4 linked regions of the Caenorhabditis elegans genome follow. The protein of the gene in region 3 purifies or fractionates together with the protein of the main gene of each other region. This does not show direct contact. Each region holds a gene or a part of one and is shown on either strand. Other genes may lie near its edges.

Region 1 (6,667 bases), on a different chromosome or scaffold from region 3:
AAAACATAACGCATTGAGTTCATACTGCGTATTTTGTGAACTACAGTAGCCAGGAAAATTTGACCTAAATTAATAATGGCTTGTGAGCGCGCGCAAAAAAATTAGGCGCCAATTTTTGATTTTTTTTTTCGAGAATTATCTTGTTTTTGTCATCATTTTTGAATAATTTTCCGTTCGACGTGCCGCTTTTTGGGATTTTTTGTTGAAATTTTCACCAATTTTAACGCTTTTTCAGCCATTTTGTCGTTGATCGCCCCAGTTTCTTGTCTATTTTCAATTTGCTGTATTCGTTCCTTGCGTTCATATTTAGGCCATTTAGCTCATCTGGAGCCACCTAATGAGTTTAAAACTTCAAATTTTTGATTTTTCCGGGCGGAATTCCGGTAATTATTCACTTCGTAAAAGTTTTCTCGTTAAATTTGTCGAAATTTTAATTGAAATTTTTTTTTTCTTCGATTTTTCATGATTTGCTATCACATTTCTGCTTTTTATCAACCAATTTCAGCTTGTTTTGAGTTAATTCCTCACGAAATAGATTAATTTTTTAAAGGCGCATGCATTTTCCCACTGCCGATATCCCGTTGCGCACGAGTGTTTGCCTCTCGTGTACTTCTCTCGGACAATTGGCGGGACTTTCGAAATTCATTTTTTGAGGTTTTTCTATTGGATTTTTAGTGTTTTCCGGCAGTTTGTTGAATAATTTAGCTCAAAAATGTTCTAAATTGTGAGATTTATTCGTTTTTAAAGTATAAATTGTGTGACAAGGACCATTGCATCGCTGGGAAGAGCAATAGTTAACTATTTCGCTGGAATTCTAGTAATCGGACGATTCTGTGGACTTATTGAGAGGTTTTTGATATTTTCTTATTGAAGCGTGTTCCTATGCTGAATATTTAGCTGATTTTGCTGCAAAAACAAGTTTTTCGGCCATATGCAAACTGATTCTCGAAAAAAAATCCCAGTTCTCTTAATTTTTCCCATTAATTCTCCTCATTTACGCTTCCAACTCCTACATTTTTGCCTTAAAAGCTTTCCATCTTATTAGCTAGCCAAATGAAGCGAGAATAAACAATTTCTAGCTCTTCTCTCATCTCCAACCATCTGCGTCTCCGCTCTCTTCCCATTTTCGAAAATGTCTTGCTTTGGAGCAGATGGACCGTTGTCAAGGCATTTTTTATCGCTTTTTTTCGTTTTCCCGTGTTTTCAATCGATTTCTCGTTCTCATTTATTCAAAAACAATATTTTCAGCTTAAAATGGAACCGACAGCCGCCGAGAACAACAACAATGTGTGGCTATTCTACCCGAATCTCATCGGTTATGGACGCATAGTACTCGCCATTTTGGCCATGTACTACATGTCGTCAGCGCCATGGTGTGCAATGTTCTGGTGAGTTTTGGCGAGCTGGAAATCGATTTTTGCATCAAAAATTAGCTAATATCCATGTTTACTACTACTTTTCATCTCTTTTTCACTGAAATGTCGAGTATTTTTGCGATGCATGGTAAAGAAATCAAGGTGACCAGGTTTCTTTTCAATTTTCCCCCATAATTGAAGAGTTACAATGCCATCTGACAAGGTTTTTCAGAAGAAAAGTCCTGAAAATTAGATTTTCGTAATTAAAATTTCTCATAATTTCAGCTATGCACTCAGCGCCGGACTCGACGCGTTTGACGGATGGGCGGCACGGACCTACAATCAATCGAGCCGATTTGGAGCAATGCTCGATCAGCTCACCGATCGGTACGTTAAAATTTCTCAAATATGCTGGAAAATTCGAGAAAAAAATTGGATTCGGTAAAATTCTCATATTTTCAGCTGCGCCCTGCTGGCCTTGGTGATGGCGCTCTGCAAGTTCTACCCGGATCACTTGTTCCTGCTTCAACTGTCGGCCGTAATCGACATCGCATCTCACTGGCTTCACCTTCACGCCACTGATCTCTCCGGTGCCACGAGCCACAAGCAGTCTTCGAATTGGCTTCTGAACCTCTACTACACGGATCGATTGTTCCTCGGATTCATGTGCGGCGGAAATGAGGCTTTCTACATTTTGCTCTACATTCGCGCGTTCTGGGCTGGTAAATATTTGATTTATTTTTGCTATAATTTATTAATTCCTCTAATTTTCAGGACCACTGATCTTCAACTTCCACTTCATGTCGATCTTCCCACTCATCGCCTTCCCGATTGCCTTCGTCAAGTCCGCCATCTCCGTCGTCCATCTGTACACTGCCGCCGAGATGGTCGTTGCTCACGATGTGAAGCTCCGTGTTGAGGCTGCTCAGAAGGCCCAATGATCTCCGGATCTCCCCGAAGTCTCCAAGATTCTCCTCTGATTCCCCATGAGCTTTTGTATACACATTCCCCACTACTTAATTCACGAGCTTTACGCTTAGCTTTAGTCCTTTAGTGCTCTCGTCTCAGGAAAATGTTTCCGATTTCCATTTAATTCCAAATTTGAACATATTTCTCTGTAATTTTTTTCCCCGTAATTTTTTTTTTCGCAAATTCCCGATGTACTTACTCTGTAAAATAATATTTATTTTGTTTATTTTATTTTCCATTTATTATTCAATTCGAATTGGTTTTCAGCCAGCCGATTTTATCTATTTTCTCTCAATTTTTATTTCTTGTTTTGATTTTTTTAACCTTAATCCCACGATTTTTGCAGGATATTCGACTATCCCGAGTTGACTACAAACTACAATGGCCGACGAGCTAGCCCGAATCCAGCAGTATGAGTACCGGCAGAACTCCAACTTGGTTCTGTCGGTCGACTACAATCTGACGGATCGGCGTGGCAGAGAGGAGCCGACTGGCGAGGTGCTGCCGATCACGGATAAGGAGATGCGCAAAATGAAGATGGGTGACCGGGCGATCAAGGGAAAAGCGCCGGTGCAGGATCAGAAGAAGAAGAGAAAGAAGAAGGACGACGAGAAAGCACAACAGTTCGGCCGGAATGTCCTTGTCGACAATAATGAGCTCATGGGAGCCTACAAGCCCAGAACCCAGGAGACGAAGCAGACTTATGAAGTGATTTTGTCTTTCATTTTGGACGCACTTGGCGATGTTCCACGCGAGGTTCTGTGCGGAGCCGCTGACGAGGTGCTTCTCACGCTGAAAAACGACAAATTCCGAGATAAAGGTGAGGTGAAAATCGAAGATTTTCAATAAAATTTATATTTTTTTTTCAGAGAAGAAGAAAGAAGTGGAAGCTCTTCTGGGACCGCTCACCGACGATCGTATCGCAGTTCTCATCAACTTATCGAAGAAGATCAGCGATTTTTCGATCGAAGAGGAGAATAAGCCTGAAGGCGATGGAGACATCTACGAGAATGAGGGTGTAAATGTGCAGTTCGACTCGGATGAGGAAGAAGATGACGGTGGGATGGTTAATGAGATCAAAGGTGATAGTGAGGAGGAGAGTGAAGAGGAAGAAGGTGTGGATACAGATTACACGGCAACACTCAAAGGAGATGGTCATTTGACGGAAGATGAGCAAAAAGCACGAGGAATTCTTCATCCACGTGACATCGACGCTCATTGGATCCAAAGATCGCTCGCCAAGTACTTCAAAGATCCTCTGATCGCCCAACAGAAGCAAACGGAAGTCATCGGAATTCTCAAGAACGCCGCCGACGATCGTGACGCCGAGAATCAGCTTGTCCTGCTGTTAGGCTTCGATCAGTTCGAGTTCATCAAGTGCCTTCGCCAGAATCGTCTTATGATCCTCTACTGTACACTTTTGCGTCAGGCGAACGAGAAGGAGCGTCTCCAAATCGAAGATGATATGCGATCTCGTCCAGAGCTTCATCCGATTCTTGCACTTCTTCAGGAGACTGATGAGGGATCTGTTGTGCAGGTGGAAAAGTCGAAACGAGACGCGGAGAAGTCGAAGAAGGCCGCCACAGCAGCAAATGAAGCCATCAGTGCGGGACAGTGGCAGGCGGGCCGCAAGATGTTGGATCTAAACGATCTCACGTTCAGTCAAGGATCTCATTTGATGAGCAATAAAAGGTAAATACAATTTTATTTTAAAAGTACGATTTTCCATTAGAAAATTAAGGAAATTTGATTCATTATGCACTTTAAAAGTCCACATTCCCAAAAAACCCTAAAATTCTCAATTTTGCAGATGCGAGCTCCCCGACGGATCCTACCGCCGCCAGAAAAAGTCCTACGAAGAAATCCACGTACCAGCCCTCAAACCACGACCATTTGCTGAAGGAGAGAAGCTCGTCAGTGTCTCAGAGCTCCCGAAATGGGCCCAACCGGCTTTCGACGGCTACAAGTCGCTGAACAGGATCCAATCCCGACTCTGTGATTCAGCTCTTCGATCCAAAGAGCATCTCTTGCTCTGTGCTCCAACTGGAGCTGGAAAGACGAACGTGGCGCTGCTCACGATGCTCCAAGAAATCGGAAACCACTTGGCAGAGGATGGAAGTGTGAAGCTCGATGAGTTCAAGATTGTCTACATTGCTCCGATGAAGTCACTGGTTCAAGAGATGGTTGGAAGCTTCTCAAAACGTCTTGCTCCATTCGGAATCACTGTCGGCGAAATGACCGGAGATGCTCAAATGAGCAAAGAGCAGTTCATGGCGACACAAGTGATCGTTTGTACGCCGGAAAAGTATGATGTGGTGACGCGAAAAGGCGGAGAGAGAGCCTATAACCAGATGGTTCGGCTGTTGATCATTGATGAGATCCATCTGCTTCACGATGATCGTGGACCGGTGTTGGAGTCGATCGTCGTCAGAACGATTCGTCAAATGGAGCAGAATCACGATGAGTGCCGACTGGTCGGACTTTCAGCAACTCTTCCGAATTATCAAGATGTGGCGACGTTCTTGCGAGTGAAGCCTGAGCATTTGCACTTCTTTGATAACAGCTATCGTCCAGTTCCCCTCGAGCAACAATATATTGGAGTTACTGAGAAGAAGGCTTTGAAGAGGTTCCAGGCGATGAACGAAGTGGTGTACGACAAGATTATGGAGCACGCCGGAAAGAGCCAAGTCCTCGTTTTTGTGCATTCCCGAAAGGAAACTGCGAAAACCGCGAAAGCGATTCGTGACGCGTGCCTCGAGAAGGACACGCTGTCGGCGTTCATGCGTGAGGGCTCAGCGAGCACAGAAATCCTGAGAACCGAGGCCGAGCAGGCGAAGAATTTGGATTTGAAGGACCTCTTGCCGTATGGATTCGCTATTCATCACGCTGGAATGAACAGAGTTGATCGTACACTCGTCGAGGATTTGTTCGCTGATCGGCATATTCAGGTAGGGGAATCGAAAATTTCCCGAAAATATTTCAAATCTTCAAAATATTATTTTTCAGGTGCTCTTTTCGACTGCAACTCTCGCTTGGGGAGTCAATCTGCCGGCTCATACTGTAATCATCAAGGGAACTCAGATCTATAACCCGGAAAAAGGACGTTGGACAGAGCTCGGAGCACTCGACATCATGCAAATGCTCGGAAGAGCCGGACGTCCACAGTACGATGATCGCGGAGAGGGAATTCTCATCACAAATCACTCGGAGCTCCAGTATTATCTCTCGCTGATGAATCAACAGCTTCCTGTCGAGTCGCAGATGGTCTCACGGCTCACTGATATGCTCAACGCTGAGGTTGTGCTCGGCACTGTCAGTAGTGTGTCGGAGGCGACGAATTGGTTGGGTTACACTTTCCTTTTTGTGAGAATGTTGAAGAATCCGACGCTTTATGGAATTACACATGAGCAAGCGGTAGGTTAAGCTTGAAATTTTAGCATTTTTCATAGAAAACCCTAAAATTCTCCAATTTTCAGCGCGCCGATCCTCTTCTAGAACAACGTCGTGCCGATCTCATCCACACAGCTTGCGTGCTTCTGGACAAGGCCGGACTCATCAAATATGACAAGCGAAGCGGAATCATTCAGGCCACCGAGCTCGGGCGCATCGCTTCTCACTTCTACTGCACATACGAGTCGATGCAAACCTACAACAAGCTGCTGGTCGAGACGTGCTCGGATATCGATCTCTTCAGAATTTTCTCGATGAGCTCCGAATTCAAGTTGCTGTCGGTTCGCGATGAGGAGAAGCTGGAACTTCAGAAGATGGCAGAGCACGCGCCGATTCCGATCAAGGAGAACCTGGATGAAGCGTCGGCGAAGACGAATGTCCTTCTTCAAGCCTATATCTCACAGTTGAAGCTCGAAGGATTCGCGCTTCAGGCGGATATGGTCTTCGTGGCTCAGAGTGCCGGACGACTCTTCAGAGCTCTTTTCGAGATTGTGCTATGGAGAGGTTGGGCTGGGCTCGCTCAGAAGGTGCTCACTCTTTGCAAGATGGTTACACAACGGCAATGGGGATCGTTGAACCCGCTGCATCAGTTCAAGAAGATCCCGAGCGAGGTGGTTCGATCGATTGACAAGAAGAACTACTCGTTCGATAGACTGTATGACTTGGATCAACACCAGCTGGGAGATTTGATTAAGATGCCGAAGATGGGAAAGCCGCTCTTCAAGTTCATTCGCCAGTTTCCGAAGCTTGAGATGACTACTCTCATCCAGCCGATCACAAGAACCACCATGAGAATCGAGCTGACAATTACGCCAGACTTCAAGTGGGATGAGAAGGTGCACGGAAGCGCCGAAGGTTTCTGGATCTTCATTGAGGATACCGATGGCGAGAAG
Region 2 (4,839 bases), on a different chromosome or scaffold from region 3:
CGCATCAAAATGTGCCTATAGCCAACCGGAGCCGGATCAGCAGCAGCAGCAGTAGTAGTAGTAGCCAATAGCTGTTGAGAGGAGGACAGAAAGAGCGAGTGATAACTGGCCAAGTGTTCCCGGGAGAAGACGAAAAACCCAGAGAGAGAGAGCACGGCGAAAACGGAACGGGAATGGAATCAATCGATGATAGTCAAACGGCAACACAAAGGGCACAATCCATTGTGTGTGTGTGTGTGCGTGAGTGATTTGTCATTGAAACAACTTCAGAATGACATAGTGCCACGGAGGAGACGGGAGGAGAGAGAACAAAGTACAAGTGATTCGCGCCGGAGATCAGATCAAAATAATTTGAATTGATTTGAAATGTTCACCAGAAAAATTGTGGGTCTGCATTTTTAAAAGACGGCGTAAATGGGAATTATTACAAAATAAAAAACGCGGAATCATAACAGAATTAATTTTTTATTTTTAAAATCGGGATTTTGCAATTTTGGCTAAATTCCTTTAAAAAATGAACGATCAATCAGTTGGAGTGTGGAGAATTCAGCCAAAATTGAAAAAAATCGCGTTTTTTTTATTCGGATTTTATATTATTTCGCGATTTTCTTCCGGTTTTTCCTGAATTCGAGTCAAAACATTGGATTTTCTGAAGCTTTTGAAATTATTCGACTTGAAAAAAGGTGATTTTTCCTAATTATCACTGAAAAGCGTTCAATTTTCAAAAGAGAACATCGATAATTTTCGGTTTTTCTCAGCAAAATGTGAAATCGAAGTAGAAAACTCTTGTTCAAATCCAGATCAGGTTTGGGGATTGGCGCCAATTTTTCAAAATGACCTATTGTGACATGTTGATTCATTTAAAATTGATGTGAAATTATAGAAAATCACTTGATTTATCTAAAACAAACATTTATTTCAGTCGAAACACTTGAGGAAGAGCTCAAAAATGGCCTGAAATTAGCAAATTCAGGCTATTTTTCAGCATTTTCTCGCATGTTTCAACTGAAATGGGTGTTATTTTCAGATAAATCGTCTGATTTCTATATTTTGGCGAGAAATCAAGCGAATTCACTGAATTCCGGCTGAGAATCTGCCGCGTTTTGAAAATTGATATTTCAACTCTTCGACGGCTGCAGCCACAAGAGTACGGAAAGATGAGAAAGCACATCTCGTACAGCTTTCGGATGATGATAGGCGTGTGTGTGGAACATTTTTCTGTTTTGAAAGAAGAAAATAGGTCGGCAGAAAAAGAGATAAGAAGTGGGGAAAGAGTATTCTTTTTTGCTGCTGTTGTGCCGAGTAAGAGTAACGAGAAGAATAAAGAGAGAAAAATGTGGAGAGCGTCGTCGACCGCACATAGTGGAAAGAGAAGAGGGATACACAAGTCTCTCCGTGTTTTTGTTACTCTGTTTCGTGCCTCTCTTCAAAATGAACACTATTTCGTTCAATTTGAGCCGTGGAAAAACAAAATGCTGAAAAAAAGCTTTACGATTGATTTTTTTTATGCCTGCAATAATAAAACATAACTTTTGGTACATTTGTTTGTGAATTGATTCTATTTGCGAAGTTCTTATCTATACGAAATTCACGTGAATCAGAGATGAGAAGTGGGTTTTGACCACGTAGTTATCAAAAATTATCAAAAAAAAGGTTCAAAAATTTAATATCAAAATTTGAAAATGAAAACATTGAGAAAGTGACAGGAAATTGTGGAGATCGAAAAATCTAGGAGATTCTCTCCTTGGGCTCCATGATGACGACGGAGTTTCCGCGAATGACAGTCATGCCGAGGTTGACGGATCCTCCGTCCTTTTGGTACTCGACAGCTTCCTGCAATATTAAATTTTAGAATAAATTAGACAAAAACGGAAAAAGAAACATACGTCGATGACCATGTTCATGAATGGATCGAAACCGCGGAGGATTCCAGAGACGCGACGGTTTCCGTTGAGCTTCAAGTCCATCTCCTTGTCCATGTACTTTTTGAGCTCTGGTGGATGTGTCTTACTCATTTTTCTGAAAAATTGAGAATTTGCAGGGGGAAATGAAAATGAAGAATGGAAAAATCATCAAAGAAACAGATTTTACTTAAAATAGAAAATAAAGCTCATTTTTCAACTTCCACCTATCGAAAATTCAGATAATACATTAATTATAACATTTTTTAACTAATTTTTCAAAGAATAAACATGATAATTATCAGGAAAATTGGATGAAAAAGGCTAAAATCGACGAAATTATTTTTCGAAATTCGAATAGTACGCAAACACCACGCTTGGTACACCATAAATGACGACAAGTTGCAGACGCTTGCACACCGTACTCACACAATTCTTATCGGATTTCCGAGCTTTTTCTTTTCGTTTTTCCAATTTTAGATGGTAAAAAAGAAGAGTAACTATCATATTCTCGTCGCACAAAATTTCTTATCAAATATCAGTGTTGATGGAAGCCACAATGACACAAATCTTCGAATTTTCCAAACAAAAGGCCTTCCGAAGGTGAGAATCTTGGTTTTTCAGCGATTTTCGTAACTAATTGATAATTTTTTCAGATATCTCCAACGGAAAAGAAGTTTTCAAACGGCGCAAGCTCCACAACCACCATCCGCAACAATGAATCAGTGATCTCACTCGGAACATCCGCTTCACTCGGAGAACGGCTAAGCTCGTCGAATTTGCCGCAGGAATACGCGGAGACACCACAGAAAAAGTGAAAATTAGTTGAAAATCAATATAATTAATTAATTTTCTCTATTTATAGAACTTCAATCTTCCGAAGAATCGCGAAAATCATGAGCTCCGACGACGTGATCTATTCAATGACCGCCACAAACAGTAGATCTCCGATTCTTGAAGAAGGCGTCGGGAGAGAAGATAGTGGGCTGATTGGTGAGCTGGCGAGCTTATAAAAGCTTACAAAACTTGAAATAAAATAAATTAATTCAAAATTTTCACAGAATTTCGCTCAGAATCACCATCTTGTTCTTCAAATCAGTTCAGTTTTCTGAGAAGGCTCAAAAGCACCATTACCCATGCAGATAGGTGAGTTCAACCATCATAAAATCCTCTAAAATCCCCCACACTAACCGTTCCGTGTTGCGAACTAACCCACATTTTCAGATTTTACATCTGCACCTCGACGAATGGCCAGCCTCTGGCAGTTTTCTCGTATATCTCGCCGAACAGCGACTACGTGGATCCGCTGGCGCCGATTTTCGCCAACACAACCGTCAATAAGAAGAAATTCCGATCGAAATCGATTTTTGGAAGGTTTAGAATTAACATCTCCTCTATAATTTATATCTTCTACCTAATTTTCCCCGAAAACTGGCAATTATCTAACAAAATTTCACAAAAAAAGCGCAGGAATTCAGAAATTTCGGCTATGCGATCTTAAAGGCACATGGGTTTATTCAGCTGTGCATCGACGCGAAAAGACAGCATGTGGTAGTTTTTTTTGTTAAATTTTTCAGTTTTCAGACCGAAAAAAAGGAAAACAACGCAAATTTTCAGCAGAAAGTAAGAAAAAACGCTGCAATTTGCTAAAAATCCGTGCGCCTTTAGGTCAAAATCTTGAAAAAATACGATAAATTCCCATAATTTCACCTTATAATCCAATTTTCCAGCTCGGATCGCATGCGGCATCAGGCTCACTTATCAACAGAAGAGCTGCGGCCATTTGTCTTCCGAGACGCTGAAGATCAAGTAATTCTGGGGCAGATTCGCCGAAAGCGGAATCCTTCGCCGTTTTTCACGCTGTTCGACAAGTCGCCCGCCTCGATTTCCAGGAAAGAGCGGAGGGTGAGGCTTTGAATTTTGAATTTTAAGATTCAAAATCCGCGGAAAAAAGGCGAATTTTAGCTAAAATCTTCAATTTTACCGAGTTTTTCGTGTCGTAGCAGGCGAAAATTCGTATTTTTGCAAATTTTGCTCGTTTATTTCACTTTATATCGTTGATTTTCGTACTGTTTAAAGATGGAGTAGCGCCAGTGAGGAAATTGCTTTAAAACATGCCTATGGGGCCACAATGGCCGAATATCATGATAAAAAATTTTTGAAAAATGTTCTAAATTTTACATGATTTTTTGAAAATTGAAAAAATCTCAGTTTTTGCCTAATTCCTATTCGAATTTCCGCCAATTGGATTTGTTCGATTGAGCGCGCTTGCACGTTTTTAAATTTATTTATTTTATTTTTTGTTATTTTCCACCGATTTTTAATGTTTTCGGTGTATTTTTGCTCGAATATTAGAGAAAAAGTCAAAATGATTGCAAATTTTCAATTAAAAAGCACTCTTACAGGCGTAAATCAGTGAAATCAATTAATTCAGGTTCGAAATCGTTTAAAAGCGTTACTTTTTGATTTTTACGCCTGTTTGCTTTTTAATCAAAAATTTGCATTTATTTTGACTTTTTCTCTAAAATTCCACCAAAAATACACCGAAAACATTAAAAATCGGTGGAAAATAACAAAAAATAAAATAAATTAATTTAAAAACGTGCAAGCGCGCTCCATCGAACAAATCCAAATGGCGGTAATTCAAATAGGAATTAGGGGAAAACTGAGATTTTTTCAATTTTCAAAAAATCATATAAAATTTAGAACATTTTTCTGAATTTTTTATCATGATATTCGGTCATTGTGGTACCATAGGCGTGTTTTAAAGCTATTTCCCCACTGGCGCTACTCCACCGTTAAGGTCTGTAATAATGGATTTATGAAACTTAAAAACTGGCAAAATTGAAGATTTTCACTAAAATAAACCTTTTTTTCGGAATTTTTCGTTCACTTGAGCAGATTTTGAGTCTTAAAATGTGAATTTTAGGTGAAAAGT
Region 3 (5,479 bases):
GAACCTGAAAAAATGTCGTGTTATTATGGAGACGTAGAAAAATGCAAATTTGGAAATCGCGCTCCACCGAACATTGGACCTTTTAGACGGGAAAGCTAGAAAATCAAATGTTTTTCGAGCACTTTTCGTCAAAATTACTTTTTTAACAGATTTTTGGCATAAAAATTTACGGAAAATACGAAAAATTCTCGAAAACGGGGAAAATCAAGCATTTTTCGACTTTTTTGTGATTTTTTGAGTGATTTTTATGCATTTTATGACGAAATTGAATTTTTTTGACAAAAAAAATTATAAAACACCACCAGAGAAATAACGAAAATAAGCCGAAAAATAACTGAAAACGTTTGAATTTATCGTTTTGCCGCCAGTTCCTAACGGTACCCAACTTTTTCGCGTTGGAGCGCGATTGCGCCTCGATTTCAAAAGGCGCGTACAAATTAAGAAGTGCCGTTGAAATATTACCGGAAATTATTGAAAATTCGGTTTTCTCATCATAAAAACTGATTTTTTTTACTTTTGAAAGAAAATTGAATTTTTTTTTGAAAATTCAAACTTACTCTATATAACTTGCTTCTTTGGTGATTTTCAACAAAATATAATAATCATCTCTTAAAATATTCTCTGCAAATTGCCAAATCACATCTTCCCCGACAAACGTCGGTACACGAATCGTAATTTGGCATACAATAAGGGAATATATTTTTCTAATTTTCAGAAGGTTATCCAAATAATTTTCAATTTCTTTCATTTCAAAGATGAAAATATGCTCTATTACCTGGAAAACATGCCCTTTTCGAAATTAAGGTTGGTGCAATCGCGCTCCACGGAATCTCGTTGGGTATTGGCGGCAAAAATTAGACATTCAAACGTTTTCACATGTTTTTTTTAAACATTTTTACGTTTTTTCAGTTGTTCTTGACGATTTTCAGAAAAAATTACATTTTTAGCAGAAAAATAATTTAAAAAAACGGTCAGAGCAACAAAAAAAAGACTAAAAAAGGTCGCAAAATATTTGAATCCCCAGTTTCCCCGCCAAAACGAGACCTTTTCGCGTTGGGGGCGATTGCACCTCGATTTCAAAAATATTTTTAAATTAAATTTGTATTTTCAGCTTACATTTTCTTCTTTAAATTGAAGCAGAGCATTGTTTAGTTGTGATTTTGAAAGATCATCTACTTTTTTATAATTTTCAAGCTGAAAATTTCAGAATTTAAAAGTTCATTTCTTCGACTATAAACTACAAACTCCACGGAGGTTCTCCCTCGAATCGATAATCAAATATTTGCAATTGAGCATCTTAAAATCGGTATTATTCAATATTTGGAGGGAATTTCCCCCGAAAAACACGAAATTATTGCATTTTTGAAACGGAAAAAATGTTCCAGACTCTTCCCAAGTGAAATATTCCGAGAGAGCACATCGTTTTACAGTGTACGGCAGATGTGAAAGCTTCTGAACAGAGAAATAAAAAAAATAACAGAATATTCGCGACCGCGACGCAATAGCAAGCGGAGCGGCTCGAAAAAAAACGTGGATTTTCAAGTTTTTCGCTCAATTTTTTGCGAAAAATTACTCACTTTGCCGGTAAACTCTAAATATTTTAGCACACACTGGTCTGCCCGTGCCAAAAGTTTGGCTCTATCCTCTATCCCTTTTGGAAAATGCTCTGCATCATCGAATGCTCCATTTAAATGCGAATAAAAGAATAAGGAGAACAAAAAGAAGACGACTGGCGAATGATTTACCATTTCGCCAGTTATATTCTAGGCGAATACCACACTTTGGAATTGTGGTAATCTTACAGGGAAATCTCCGAAACCAGTTTGTCGTCGTCTTTTTTCTGGAAAATAATTTATGAAAAATGAAGTATGATTCAACAAATAACAAAGTGCGGAGCCGGGACAAGCAGGAGATCACGTCAAATTCAACGGTCTGCGCACGCTTTGAAAAGAAGAGAAACTGGAAGAATGGGGGACTCGAGAGAGAGAAAAAATACAGAGAATTGATTATATTTGCGCCGTGTTGTGCTTATCCACGGAACGTTGGAGCTCCTCCCGGGCGAGACATTCCACGTGGTCCTCCACGGCCCATTGGTCGACGGAAAGCGGTTCCACGTCCTCTTCCACGCTGATCGAGACCTCCCAAACCCATTCCAATGGCTCCTTTCTGGGCTCTTCCGATATTTTTGAACATTGGCGCGTTTTTGAGCATATCCGGCAGAATCATGAATCGGATCTGGAAATTGATTGGTTTACAGCTGAAATTTAGAGAAAAATGGTGAAAAACCTTGTTTCCGCGAATGAAAACGTTGTCCAATTGATGACTTCTTCCGTCGCGGAAAGTCACAACGGTTTCAGCCAGCTGACAGTTCATGTTGTCTTCGGCTTCAGAAAGTTTTCCTCGGTAAACTTCGCCTGGAATAGAAAAGTATTTATTGAGCGACGGGAAATTCGAAAATGATTACCTGTAACGGTTTCGAGCGTGACCATGTGACCTTCGGCCTCATGAAGAATCTTGATTGGGACACCAACTGAAGTCATTCTGAAAATTTTGATTCTGTAGATTCGGCTTGAAGGGAGAAAACGTTAGAAAAAAGAAGTAGAATCGCCTAAAATTTCAGATTTTCACACTTTTCACGGTAAAGTTTGTTCTCATTTGAAATATGCTGAGCATAATAGACAAAAAAGGAATAAAACCCCGAAAATGAAGTTTTTTCGGAAAATTCTAGAATTTGCACGCGTTGCAAGAAAAATGTGGCAACAAATGGATTTCCAGATGAGAAAAATGTGTTTTAGAACTTTATTTTGAAGAAAATCTAGAAATAAAACGGTTTTTCTTTCTAAAAATTACGAAAAATGAAGAGCTCAAAATGAAAAATGAAGGGAATAAAATTCGAAAATAAGGCACGCGACGCAGCACGCAGCGTGTGCAGTGGGGCGCGTTTGCGGGAAGGGCCTCATGAAGTTAACTTCCCGGAGACGCAAGAACGCCGAAATTGGAGACTAGCATTTATGTAAAATGCAAATTTAAATATTTAATTAAATGAAAACTATTATATTATTCTTAATCAATTATAAATACTAAAAAAATACAGCAATTTTCATTTGTAAAGCTGCCAGAAACTATTTCAAATCTCACGTTCCCTTGTCCCCGAGATACTAGTTTTACGGAATGCGCATAGAATTTTTTAATTATTTACCAGATTTTACAGATGAATTTCCATAATTTTATGTAAAATATGAAGAAAAATCGGAAAATTCTCTAGAAAAATGTCAAATCGGCTTTATATTCTCCTTGCTGTAGTCCTTTTCCTAGCAACATTCGGTTCAACCGGTCTAATCGTTCTTCCAGCCAGTATCCTCTGTTTCGTAGCGGGGTAAGCTTTAATTCTTTAGAAAAACCTTAAACTGGAATACCTTCAGATTTCTCTACATTTTCTATCAAACGGGACACGAAAAACATGACGAAATCGCTGGAATTTTATCCGAAAATCTGCAAAAAGGAAAATTATCTGCGGGAATTGAGGCTCTGCTGAAAAATGGAAAACGACTCAAAGAGCAAAATCAATATGTGGAGGTGCATTCAATGTGCAATTCACCGCAATTAGATTTGGTTTTAGAACAAGTAGGGATTTATGTGGACTGAAATGTTATTAAAAATATTTTTTTTTAGATTCTCGGCAATATAACACGGGATTACGTCGGCTTTTGGTATAAAACACTTTCAAATGATAATATTTTTGAACAAAGCTTAAAGAGAACCTCCCGAAGATCAATTGCCTCATTGACACAATGGTGTGTAGCTCATTAATAAAATTTTATTTTATAAAACAAAAAATGGAAAAAAATCAATAAAATCTCAAATTTCCAGTCTCCGCCAGGTTGATTGGGTTCCATTGCTCACGCGTGACGTTGTCGACGATTTTGCTTCTCATTTACGGCTTTTCCGGAAAGCTAAGGAAAGAACTGCATTTCAAGCGAAGGAAAAAGATAAAACATTATCCCCTGAAGATTTGGAAGCGGAATTGCTCAGCAATTTCTTTGATTTTGAGCTGGAAATGGAAAAATCGTTGTGTAGAGATCTTCTTTCAACTACACCGCATTATGAAAATGGTAAAAATTGAGATTTTCGATGAAAAAATTCAATTTTTTCCGATTTTTCAGCCTATCTTCATGATCTTGTCGATATAATTCTCTATTTAATAATGCCACCGGAAGATTTTAGATGTCGGCCGCTGAGATTCTTGCTTCGAGAAGTTGTTGGTCAGTGTCGGAAGATATTCAGGAAATTGAGAAAAATTGAAAAAATAAAATCAATTTTTAAATCGAATTTTCTTCTAAAAAGACAAAAAATGACCGAAATTTGATGGAAAATTTAATTTTTTTCTGAAAAAAAAGTCAATGTCCCTTTAAAAGATGTGTAGATTTGCGAGCCACGAGTATACTCGTGGACAAGCATGAAAAACGTATTTTCTAGCAGGATTTCACGGTTTTTTGCGTTTTAAATTTAATTCTGCCTAAAATAATAAAAAAAATTATAGAAAAAATAATTTTTTATTGATTTTTTGTTGAAAATCGAAAAATTTTAATGCTATTTTTCGAAAAATCGGGGAAAAAACTAAAAAATATTTTTCGTTAACTTTTTTGAAATCCAAAAATTTAAAGTTTTTCGATTTTTCAAAAAATAGCAACAAAACCATCGAAACACACAATTTTTCTTCAGAAAATAGGAAATCTCAGACATTTTTGCCGAAAAAAACGCTTGTCCTCGCATAGTACACGGTGCTCGTAAATCTACACAACTTTTAAAGGGACATAGAAGGTCTCGCAACGCTCTTTGCTGGCGAAAAATGGATAAAAAAACGAAAATAACATTTAAAAATCTAGTTATTATTTTTTTTTTTCAGTAAGAAAAGTGATTCTGCCTACTCTGGACTACCTCTCCGATCCAAATGAAATATTTCAATTAATCGTTTGGCTTCTCAGTGAAGTGGAACCAAAACCCGATGATTTTGTGGCGTGTCTCACGAGTTCAACATCCATCGAAGAGCTGGAAGCCGTGTTCCGAGCGATTGCTGACGAAAAAATTGTAATGAGAGGGAAGGATTCCGGTGGAGAACAGGATACTTTCGTTAAACAACAACTAGCCAGTCTACAATTCGTCGAAAATCTAGTTCAGCGGCGAATCGACTTCTTGGGATCCAAAGATTCCGCGTTGCTCACGAAATTTGGCGAAGATGGAGATCAACTTGTACAGCTTCCACTTCACGTTATTCTCACGAATTCTATTGCTCTGTCACAGTTCTGCGAATTTCTCAAATCAGCTGGCGGTCAAAATTATATTGATCTTTATTTAGCCATTGAGGTACATTGGAAATGTCCTACTTGTGTGATTTTGCAGTTTTTTTGGCTTAGTTTTGCTTTAGAACACCATTTTTGATGAAAAACACTGAAAAGATCAGCGAAAATGACCCAAAATA
Region 4 (7,102 bases), on a different chromosome or scaffold from region 3:
AACGAACAGCGAAAAGTACATAGGGAATCCGAGATGAGGAAGACGTCATCGTTCACTGCTTACATTCTCCACCACGACATACCAGCGCGAGTAAGGGCGTAGTTGGGGAAGGCTTCTGTGCGACCTAGAAAAGAGAAATTGTTTGCAATTCTCATAATGTAAAAACAACAGCAAGTGGAAAACTACTCACCAACTCCGACAGCAGCAAGATCACGATCGTACACATGTCTTGAAATAGCCTCGCGGACAGCTCCAGCGTCAACCTTTTGAATTTGAGCTTCAAGTTCTGACAACTGTCTGAGATTTCCGGTGTAAAGAAGCTGAAAATAATGAAATAACTATCCATAGCATTTTCTGCAGAGTAACAAACCTCCTTAGCGTTAAATCCAGCCTTTTGTGTGTTGGTCTCGAGGTTCTGGTACAAGTTGGTTCTGAATTGGTTCTTGGCCATGGCGACTTCTTCTTCTGTGGCAGCAGAGGCCAAATGCTTCCATTCGTGAGCAACAGACTTCATGATTCCGCTGGTGTCGTTCAAGTCGTGAGCATCAGCAACAAAGTAGATTCCGAACAATCCAGTGTCTCTGAAAAAAAGAAAATAAAAATTTAAATAAGCTTGCAAAAAAAGATACTTACTTGTAGTTGATGTTGAAATGCTGGAGGTTATGGACTCCGTGGTCGTGTCCGATTTTTTGGACAAGTCTGGAAGCAGCTGTTCTGGATGTAGCGTGGGTCACATCCCATTGGCCTAAAACTCATCAAAATTACGGTTTGAATTGAAAAATTCACACAAAAGCCAACTTACCAATGAATTGATTGGCAATTTGAAGAGCGAGAGCATCTTTGTGGGCATATCCAACACCCTAAAAATGAAGTAAAATGAAAGACTGAACACACATTTATTATTTGTACCTCAACAGCGAAAGCAGCATACATGTGTGGGACATTATCGTTGCGGTATCTGTATTCAGATCCGGTGAATCGTGTTCCATCGACCTGTGGAACCTTTCGTGGGTATTCGTTGCTCAAGTCTCCGAAATATTTATCGGCGAGGCTTGAAACATTGGAAACTCCTCCTCCGACAGCGGACAGAACCATGCGCACTGGTCTGTAATGATCCTCTTGCCACTCCTTCAATTGTTGAGCAGAGATATTCTGAAAAAATAATCAACTTTATGTAAACCCAAATAAATACTTACTGGAATGCTCTCACTGGTTCCGAGAACGCTGAGAGCGAGTGGGGTGCCTTGGAATCCGGCAGCGTGGAGCATATCGAAGAGGACAAGCTGATGATAGTCATCGGAAGCTTCGAGCTCTTTGAGAAGATTAACTCTTTCGGTATCGATGGTTGAGGCCTCAAGCTTGCTGTTGCGGAGAACATCGGCGAGGATATCGACAACTGAAAATTTTGGAAAATTAACACAATTTTATAAGTTACAAATATTTACCTTTCTCAACATCTTGAGCTCCAGCTTGGACAAAAACTGCGGTTTGGTCACGCTCAGTGAACGAGTTGAGTTTTGCTCCGATAGCATTAAGCTCGGATTCGAGAGCAGCAGATGCTCTCTTTCCAGTTCCCTTGTGGATCAATCGCTCGAGGAAATGTGCGACACCGTTGTTCTTCTCGTTCTCAAAACGAGATCCGGTCTCGATCCAGACTCCCACCTACAATTTAAAACAAAAGAAATTTTAGAAAACTAGTGGGCAAAATTACGGTAGCGGTGGCGGATCCATTATCTTCGGTGACAACACGGAAGCCATTCTTCAAGGTGGTAACTTCAGCTTGTGGAGCGCTGGCAAGCACGTCCTTCACGGAGACAGCTGATGAAGCATTGCGAACCTGAAAATTAATTAATTTAATTAGATTTTCTACATTATCATCGTTGTTACGTTCTCCATGCGACCTGTGGGCATACAACTTTCAATTTTATTTTCAATTAAGAGTTTTTATTTCTCTTTTAGCAATCTCACAAGAAAATTACCTGGCTATTGAGAGCCGGACGCAAAGCAGAGCTGACGGCGAGTCTGAGAGCCATTCTCTCAAGTTTTCCCCTGTTCTCTGAAAATAAAAATATATAAATAGGATATTAATCGATAGATAAAAATTCAGAGAACATTATTTTAAATTGAAAAACTTGAAAAAATATATCTGAAACTCGAAAAGAAGCTGAAAACAACTAAAACCATCAAGCCGCCCAGCAGTGCAGAGACGCAGACAGCGGAATCGCTTCGAGACCCACCGAAAGTTTAAAGGCGCACCCGTAAATCGCTCCATACTTATTCCGAATATATTCTGCGAAATTCTGTCTTTTGTTCCCAATATCTCTATATTTGCTGATTTTCTCCTTTTTCAACTAGTTTTCTTAATTTGTCATACATTTAATCCATTTATCCTGCGCGTAGCTTTTCGAAATACCTAATATTTTCGTATAACGCTTTATAAAGCCACTTGAAACTCTAATTTTCCTATTGAAGGAGAAACTTGCGATGTCTTCGAGACACCGATTGGATTTAGATGGCAGCGGACGCGGAGACAGAAGAAGGTAAGTAAAATTGTTGCTTCCCCAGTTCAATATAATAATAATAATTTATTTTCAGATCTCCTAACCGCAGATCCCGATCCCGCTCCCGATCGCCACACAGACGCTCCTCCCCCGACCGGAAAAGACAGATTGGGGCAGTTGGAAATATGAAGGTATTTTTTAGTAAACGAATTTTTGTTTCTCATCTCCAAATTTACAGATCCAAATCAATCCATACAACAACCAGCCATTTAGTAACCGATATTGGGCAATTTGGGAGAAAAGAAGTCAATTGCCAGTATGGGAATATAAGGAAAAGTTTATGGAGCTGCTCCGGAACAACCAGTGCATCACTCTTGTCGGAGAAACGGGATCCGGAAAGACCACGCAAATCCCACAGTGGGCCGTCGAGTTCATGAAGCAGCAGCAACAAGGACAACCACCCGGTCAAGCGAGATTGGTGGCTTGCACACAGCCTAGACGGGTCGCTGCGATGAGCGTTGCGACAAGAGTTGCTGAGGAAATGGACGTAGTTTTGGGACAAGAAGTGGGATACAGTATTCGTTTCGAAGACTGCATCAGCGAACGAACTGTTCTCAAATACTGTACAGACGGTATGTTGCTGCGAGAAGCAATGAACAGCCCGCTCCTCGATAAGTACAAAGTCCTTATTCTCGACGAGGCTCACGAAAGAACACTCGCCACAGATATTCTTATGGGACTGATCAAGGAAATCGTGAGAAATCGAGCTGATATCAAGGTCGTAATCATGTCCGCTACATTGGATGCAGGAAAGTTTCAAAGATATTTCGAGGATTGCCCGTTGCTCAGTGTTCCCGGAAGAACATTCCCTGTTGAGATCTTCTTCACTCCAAATGCGGAGAAAGATTATCTAGAAGCCGCGATCAGAACTGTAATCCAAATTCATATGGTCGAGGAGGTTGAAGGTGACATTTTACTGTTCCTCACTGGTCAAGAAGAGATCGAAGAAGCTTGCAAAAGAATAGATCGTGAGATTCAAGCCTTGGGAGCAGATGCTGGAGCACTCAGCTGCATTCCGTTGTACTCTACACTTCCCCCAGCAGCACAGCAGAGAATCTTCGAACCAGCACCACCAAATCGACCGAATGGAGCAATCAGCAGAAAGTGTGTCATCTCTACAAATATCGCTGAGACATCATTGACTATTGATGGCGTTGTCTTTGTTATCGATCCTGGATTCTCGAAGCAAAAAGTGTACAATCCAAGAATTCGTGTCGAGTCGCTGCTTGTTTGTCCCATTTCGAAAGCTTCTGCTATGCAAAGAGCTGGACGCGCCGGAAGAACAAAGCCAGGAAAATGTTTCCGGCTTTACACCGAAACGGCTTACGGATCAGAAATGCAAGATCAAACATATCCTGAAATTCTTCGGTCGAATCTCGGATCTGTTGTGCTGCAGCTCAAGAAGCTCGGAACCGAAGATCTTGTGCACTTCGATTTCATGGATCCTCCCGCACCAGAGACATTGATGAGAGCGCTGGAACTGTTAAACTATCTTCAGGCGATCAACGACGATGGAGAGCTCACTGAACTAGGAAGTCTGATGGCTGAGTTCCCGCTTGATCCTCAGCTCGCAAAGATGCTTATCACATCCACTGAACTCAATTGCTCAAATGAAATTTTGTCGATCACAGCAATGCTCTCGGTTCCGCAGTGCTGGGTTCGTCCCAATGAAATGAGAACAGAAGCCGATGAGGCGAAGGCTCGGTTTGCACATATTGATGGAGATCATCTCACACTTCTCAATGTCTATCATTCGTTCAAGCAGAGTAAGTTGACTTTGTTTTTCTTTTTTTCAAATATTAGTTTCGCATATTTCAGATCAAGAAGATCCGCAGTGGTGTTACGATAACTTCATCAACTACAGAACTATGAAAACTGCCGACACAGTCCGCACACAATTGTCGCGTGTTATGGACAAGTACAATCTTCGACGTGTCTCAACAGACTTCAAATCTCGAGACTATTATCTCAACATCAGGAAAGCTCTTGTAGCTGGATTTTTCATGCAAGTCGCTCATCTGGAACGAAGTGGACACTACGTGACGGTGAAAGATAATCAGCTCGTCAACCTTCATCCATCCACAGTTCTCGATCATAAGCCGGAGTGGGCACTCTACAATGAGTTCGTGTTAACCACAAAGAACTTCATCAGAACTGTAACTGATGTGCGCCCTGAATGGTGAGTTAATTTGCAAATTATATTATTCAAAACCTAACTAGATATGCGTTTCAGGCTACTTCAAATCGCCCCTCAATACTATGATCTCGACAACTTCCCAGATGGAGACACGAAACGGAAGCTGACTACTGTGATGCAGACCCTGCAGAGAAACGCTGGCAGAGGCTATTGATGCCTCCGAATCATCTGATCTCATTTCCCCAAACCTCTTTTATCCCTATTGCCCCTTGTCAAATTTTTTGATTGTTTCTATTTATTTTTTGTTTATTTCTTACCCCTTTCTTTTAATTCTATTTTCACTTTTAAATCAATCACCAAATCTAAAAGGATGAACTATTCATTTTATTTGACAATTAATCCGTAAATTTAGAGAAAACCGTAAAGTTATGTTAATTAAAGAAAAGCTCGTCAAAATGTCCTTCTTGCTCTAACCAATCCTCCGCATCAATATCTTCGTCGGATTCAGGATACTCGACGGTCTCATCACTGTCATAGTCACTACCGTCGTTAAATGCCATATCGAAAAGAAGATCGTCATCGTTATCTAGCAAATCGTGATGAACTCCTTCGAACAGACGTCCAGAGCATGATCCCTGAAAATGAAAAATACATTTCTTACACAATTCTAAGAAAAAACCAACATCTCCCTGAAAATGCTTATAAGGATCTTCCTTGTCAAGAGTTTCAGAGCACAACCAACAGAAGTAGGTGTCACACTTCGTACAGTGCATCTTGTGGCATCCTTCATTCTTCTCTATGCTCACCGAGCACTTGGGACACGGTTTGCTGTTCGAATCCAGCCATTCCTCATTGAGGAACCGCTCCACAAGCTCCTCGACACGCTTCTCTCCTCCAAATTGCCTGCACATTTCAGCCTTCTCAGCTTCATCTCCATCCTTCCATCTTTTGACAAGAAGCTCTTTGTCTCCTTTCTTCCATTTGCAGCGTTCTATTCCGTGGAATGTCTGCTTACACAGATTGCAGAACGAAAAGTTACAGTAGGAGCATTCGGCCAGGAAGCGTTGTCTGAAATGTTCTTCTTTTTTACATTTATTTTTATATTTTAAACTATACCTATCCGTGACGTAGGCGACTTTTTGACAATTCTCTCTGGGACACTCCACGGTGTCTTCCATCTCTCGAATCGCCTTCTCCAGCATAATCGTCTCGTATCTGGCGGAAATTCAAATTTGGATTTTTTTTTTTGGAAATGTATCTCACTTTGCATATAAATCATCTCCGAGTGCCTCCTTAACCGTATTTTGTTGTGCTTCACTCTTGCATCCTTCTGCTAGACACTGCATGGCTTTTGACTGTAAATGATCCAATTTTTCCAAAAAAAAAATCGATTGGATCTTACCACAACACCTTTCGATATTGTACGATAATAATCGAAAGTACATTGTTTGCAGAAAACGTGAGAGCACGGCTGGAATTTGATGCAATGTTGGCCCATTTGAGAGTCGTAGCATACCTGGAAGATTGAAAAAATAGTATAATTTTATAACTACGAAAAAATTACTTCACAATCGAAAAGTGTATTGACAAAGTGCTCTTCAGCAGCTTCTTCGCCTTTTCCAAGAATTTTCTTTTTCAGCGATTCAATAGTTTCTCCATTGTTTTTCAGCGCACACGCCTCGTTCAGATTGATGATTTTTAGGTGAGATTGGTCTATCTGAAACTTATTTTTATATATTTAATTTGTTAAAAAGAACAAAAAACTAACCGAATCAATTATCGTTTGATAGCACATAAAAAGCACCTCCATCATCTGGTTTTCCTCGCAAATCCTTGCCAACTCGGTTTCACAAGATGTCATTTGTTCCTGATTCATCCAATAACTTTCCAGTTCAAGTTTTGGTGATGATACTGAGGGATAATCATTTGGAAGATGAAATTTCAATCGGATTGGTGGAAGAATGTCTAGGGGGATGGAAAAATGATCGCTGGAGTCAGACGTTCCTTCAATTGTGACTTTTGGATCGGATAATGTGTCAAATCCTACCTGAAATCAAGAAAAAATTTAATAATAAACTTCTTTATACGCTCAATATTCTACTTCAATTATTCCCCGAATTTCTGCATTTTTATCCGCCCAATCACTGATTCTCGTCAATTTATTCTCCCTTAGCACACTCTCCAGTGCTTCTAGCTCGAATAACTGAGTTTCACGGCTGTCGTCTGACATCTGAAATTTAGTAGAAATTATTTTAACACAAACTAGAACAAGAAAAACTGGTATCGCGTTCAAAATGTTTAGAAATCTAGACTTTTTTAAAAGGGCAAAAAAACCGCTGAAAAAACATGCACCAAACGCGCTCCATCTGACAGAAACAAAGCGTGGATGTTCAAATTCCACTTT

Evidence for each region.
Region 1: the proteins of snr-1 (region 3) and snrp-200 fractionate together in Caenorhabditis elegans (co-fractionation; one large-scale study listed by BioGRID). This does not show direct contact.
Region 2: the proteins of snr-1 (region 3) and snr-7 fractionate together in Caenorhabditis elegans (co-fractionation; one large-scale study listed by BioGRID). This does not show direct contact.
Region 4: the proteins of snr-1 (region 3) and ddx-15 fractionate together in Caenorhabditis elegans (co-fractionation; one large-scale study listed by BioGRID). This does not show direct contact.

Annotation. Positions count from the first base shown.
Region 1 is NC_003280.10:12,732,914-12,739,580, reverse strand, and holds the start of snrp-200 (U5 small nuclear ribonucleoprotein 200 kDa helicase), read left to right. Parts: upstream 1-2,670; 5' UTR 2,671-2,705; coding exon 2,706-3,144; intron 3,145-3,193; coding exon 3,194-4,016; intron 4,017-4,134; coding exon 4,135-5,272; intron 5,273-5,330; coding exon 5,331-5,738; intron 5,739-5,800; coding exon 5,801-6,667. Other genes in the region: pisy-1 (CDP-diacylglycerol--inositol 3-phosphatidyltransferase), read left to right, coding at 1,255-1,388, 1,641-1,742, 1,818-2,077, 2,130-2,296. UniProt on the Caenorhabditis elegans protein: Catalyzes the ATP-dependent unwinding of U4/U6 RNA duplices, an essential step in the assembly of a catalytically active spliceosome. Plays a role in pre-mRNA splicing.
Region 2 is NC_003279.8:2,724,194-2,729,032, reverse strand, and holds snr-7 (putative small nuclear ribonucleoprotein G), read right to left. Parts: upstream 2,020-4,839; 5' UTR 2,016-2,019; coding exon 1,887-2,015; intron 1,834-1,886; coding exon 1,729-1,833; 3' UTR 1,651-1,728; downstream 1-1,650. Other genes in the region: Y71F9B.6 (Cyclin N-terminal domain-containing protein), read left to right, coding at 2,382-2,504, 2,558-2,715, 2,767-2,894, 2,963-3,047, 3,126-3,275, 3,632-3,806. UniProt on the Caenorhabditis elegans protein: Plays a role in pre-mRNA splicing as a core component of the spliceosomal U1, U2, U4 and U5 small nuclear ribonucleoproteins (snRNPs), the building blocks of the spliceosome.
Region 3 is NC_003282.8:17,085,120-17,090,598, reverse strand, and holds snr-1 (Small nuclear ribonucleoprotein Sm D3), read right to left. Parts: upstream 2,551-5,479; 5' UTR 2,541-2,550; coding exon 2,465-2,540; intron 2,415-2,464; coding exon 2,287-2,414; intron 2,236-2,286; coding exon 2,029-2,235; 3' UTR 1,749-2,028; downstream 1-1,748. Other genes in the region: Y116A8C.43 (Lipoprotein), read right to left, coding at 1-4, 558-775, 1,117-1,194, 1,246-1,452, 1,578-1,748; snx-13 (Sorting nexin-13), read left to right, coding at 3,270-3,376, 3,423-3,624, 3,673-3,794, 3,871-4,112, 4,164-4,262, 4,907-5,364. UniProt on the Caenorhabditis elegans protein: Plays a role in pre-mRNA splicing as a core component of the spliceosomal U1, U2, U4 and U5 small nuclear ribonucleoproteins (snRNPs), the building blocks of the spliceosome.
Region 4 is NC_003281.10:5,587,089-5,594,190, reverse strand, and holds ddx-15 (Pre-mRNA-splicing factor ATP-dependent RNA helicase ddx-15), read left to right. Parts: upstream 1-2,472; 5' UTR 2,473-2,484; coding exon 2,485-2,540; intron 2,541-2,595; coding exon 2,596-2,692; intron 2,693-2,739; coding exon 2,740-4,327; intron 4,328-4,379; coding exon 4,380-4,740; intron 4,741-4,781; coding exon of another isoform or gene 4,782-4,782; exon of another isoform or gene 4,783-4,794; coding exon 4,795-4,912; 3' UTR 4,913-5,129; downstream 5,130-7,102. Other genes in the region: ucr-1 (Cytochrome b-c1 complex subunit 1, mitochondrial), read right to left, coding at 60-124, 191-320, 371-581, 634-751, 803-860, 910-1,152, 1,197-1,396, 1,446-1,662 and 2 more; F56D2.2 (RBR-type E3 ubiquitin transferase), read right to left, coding at 5,130-5,333, 5,382-5,766, 5,815-5,913, 5,962-6,053, 6,101-6,214, 6,263-6,415, 6,467-6,745, 6,800-6,928. UniProt on the Caenorhabditis elegans protein: Pre-mRNA processing factor involved in disassembly of spliceosomes after the release of mature mRNA.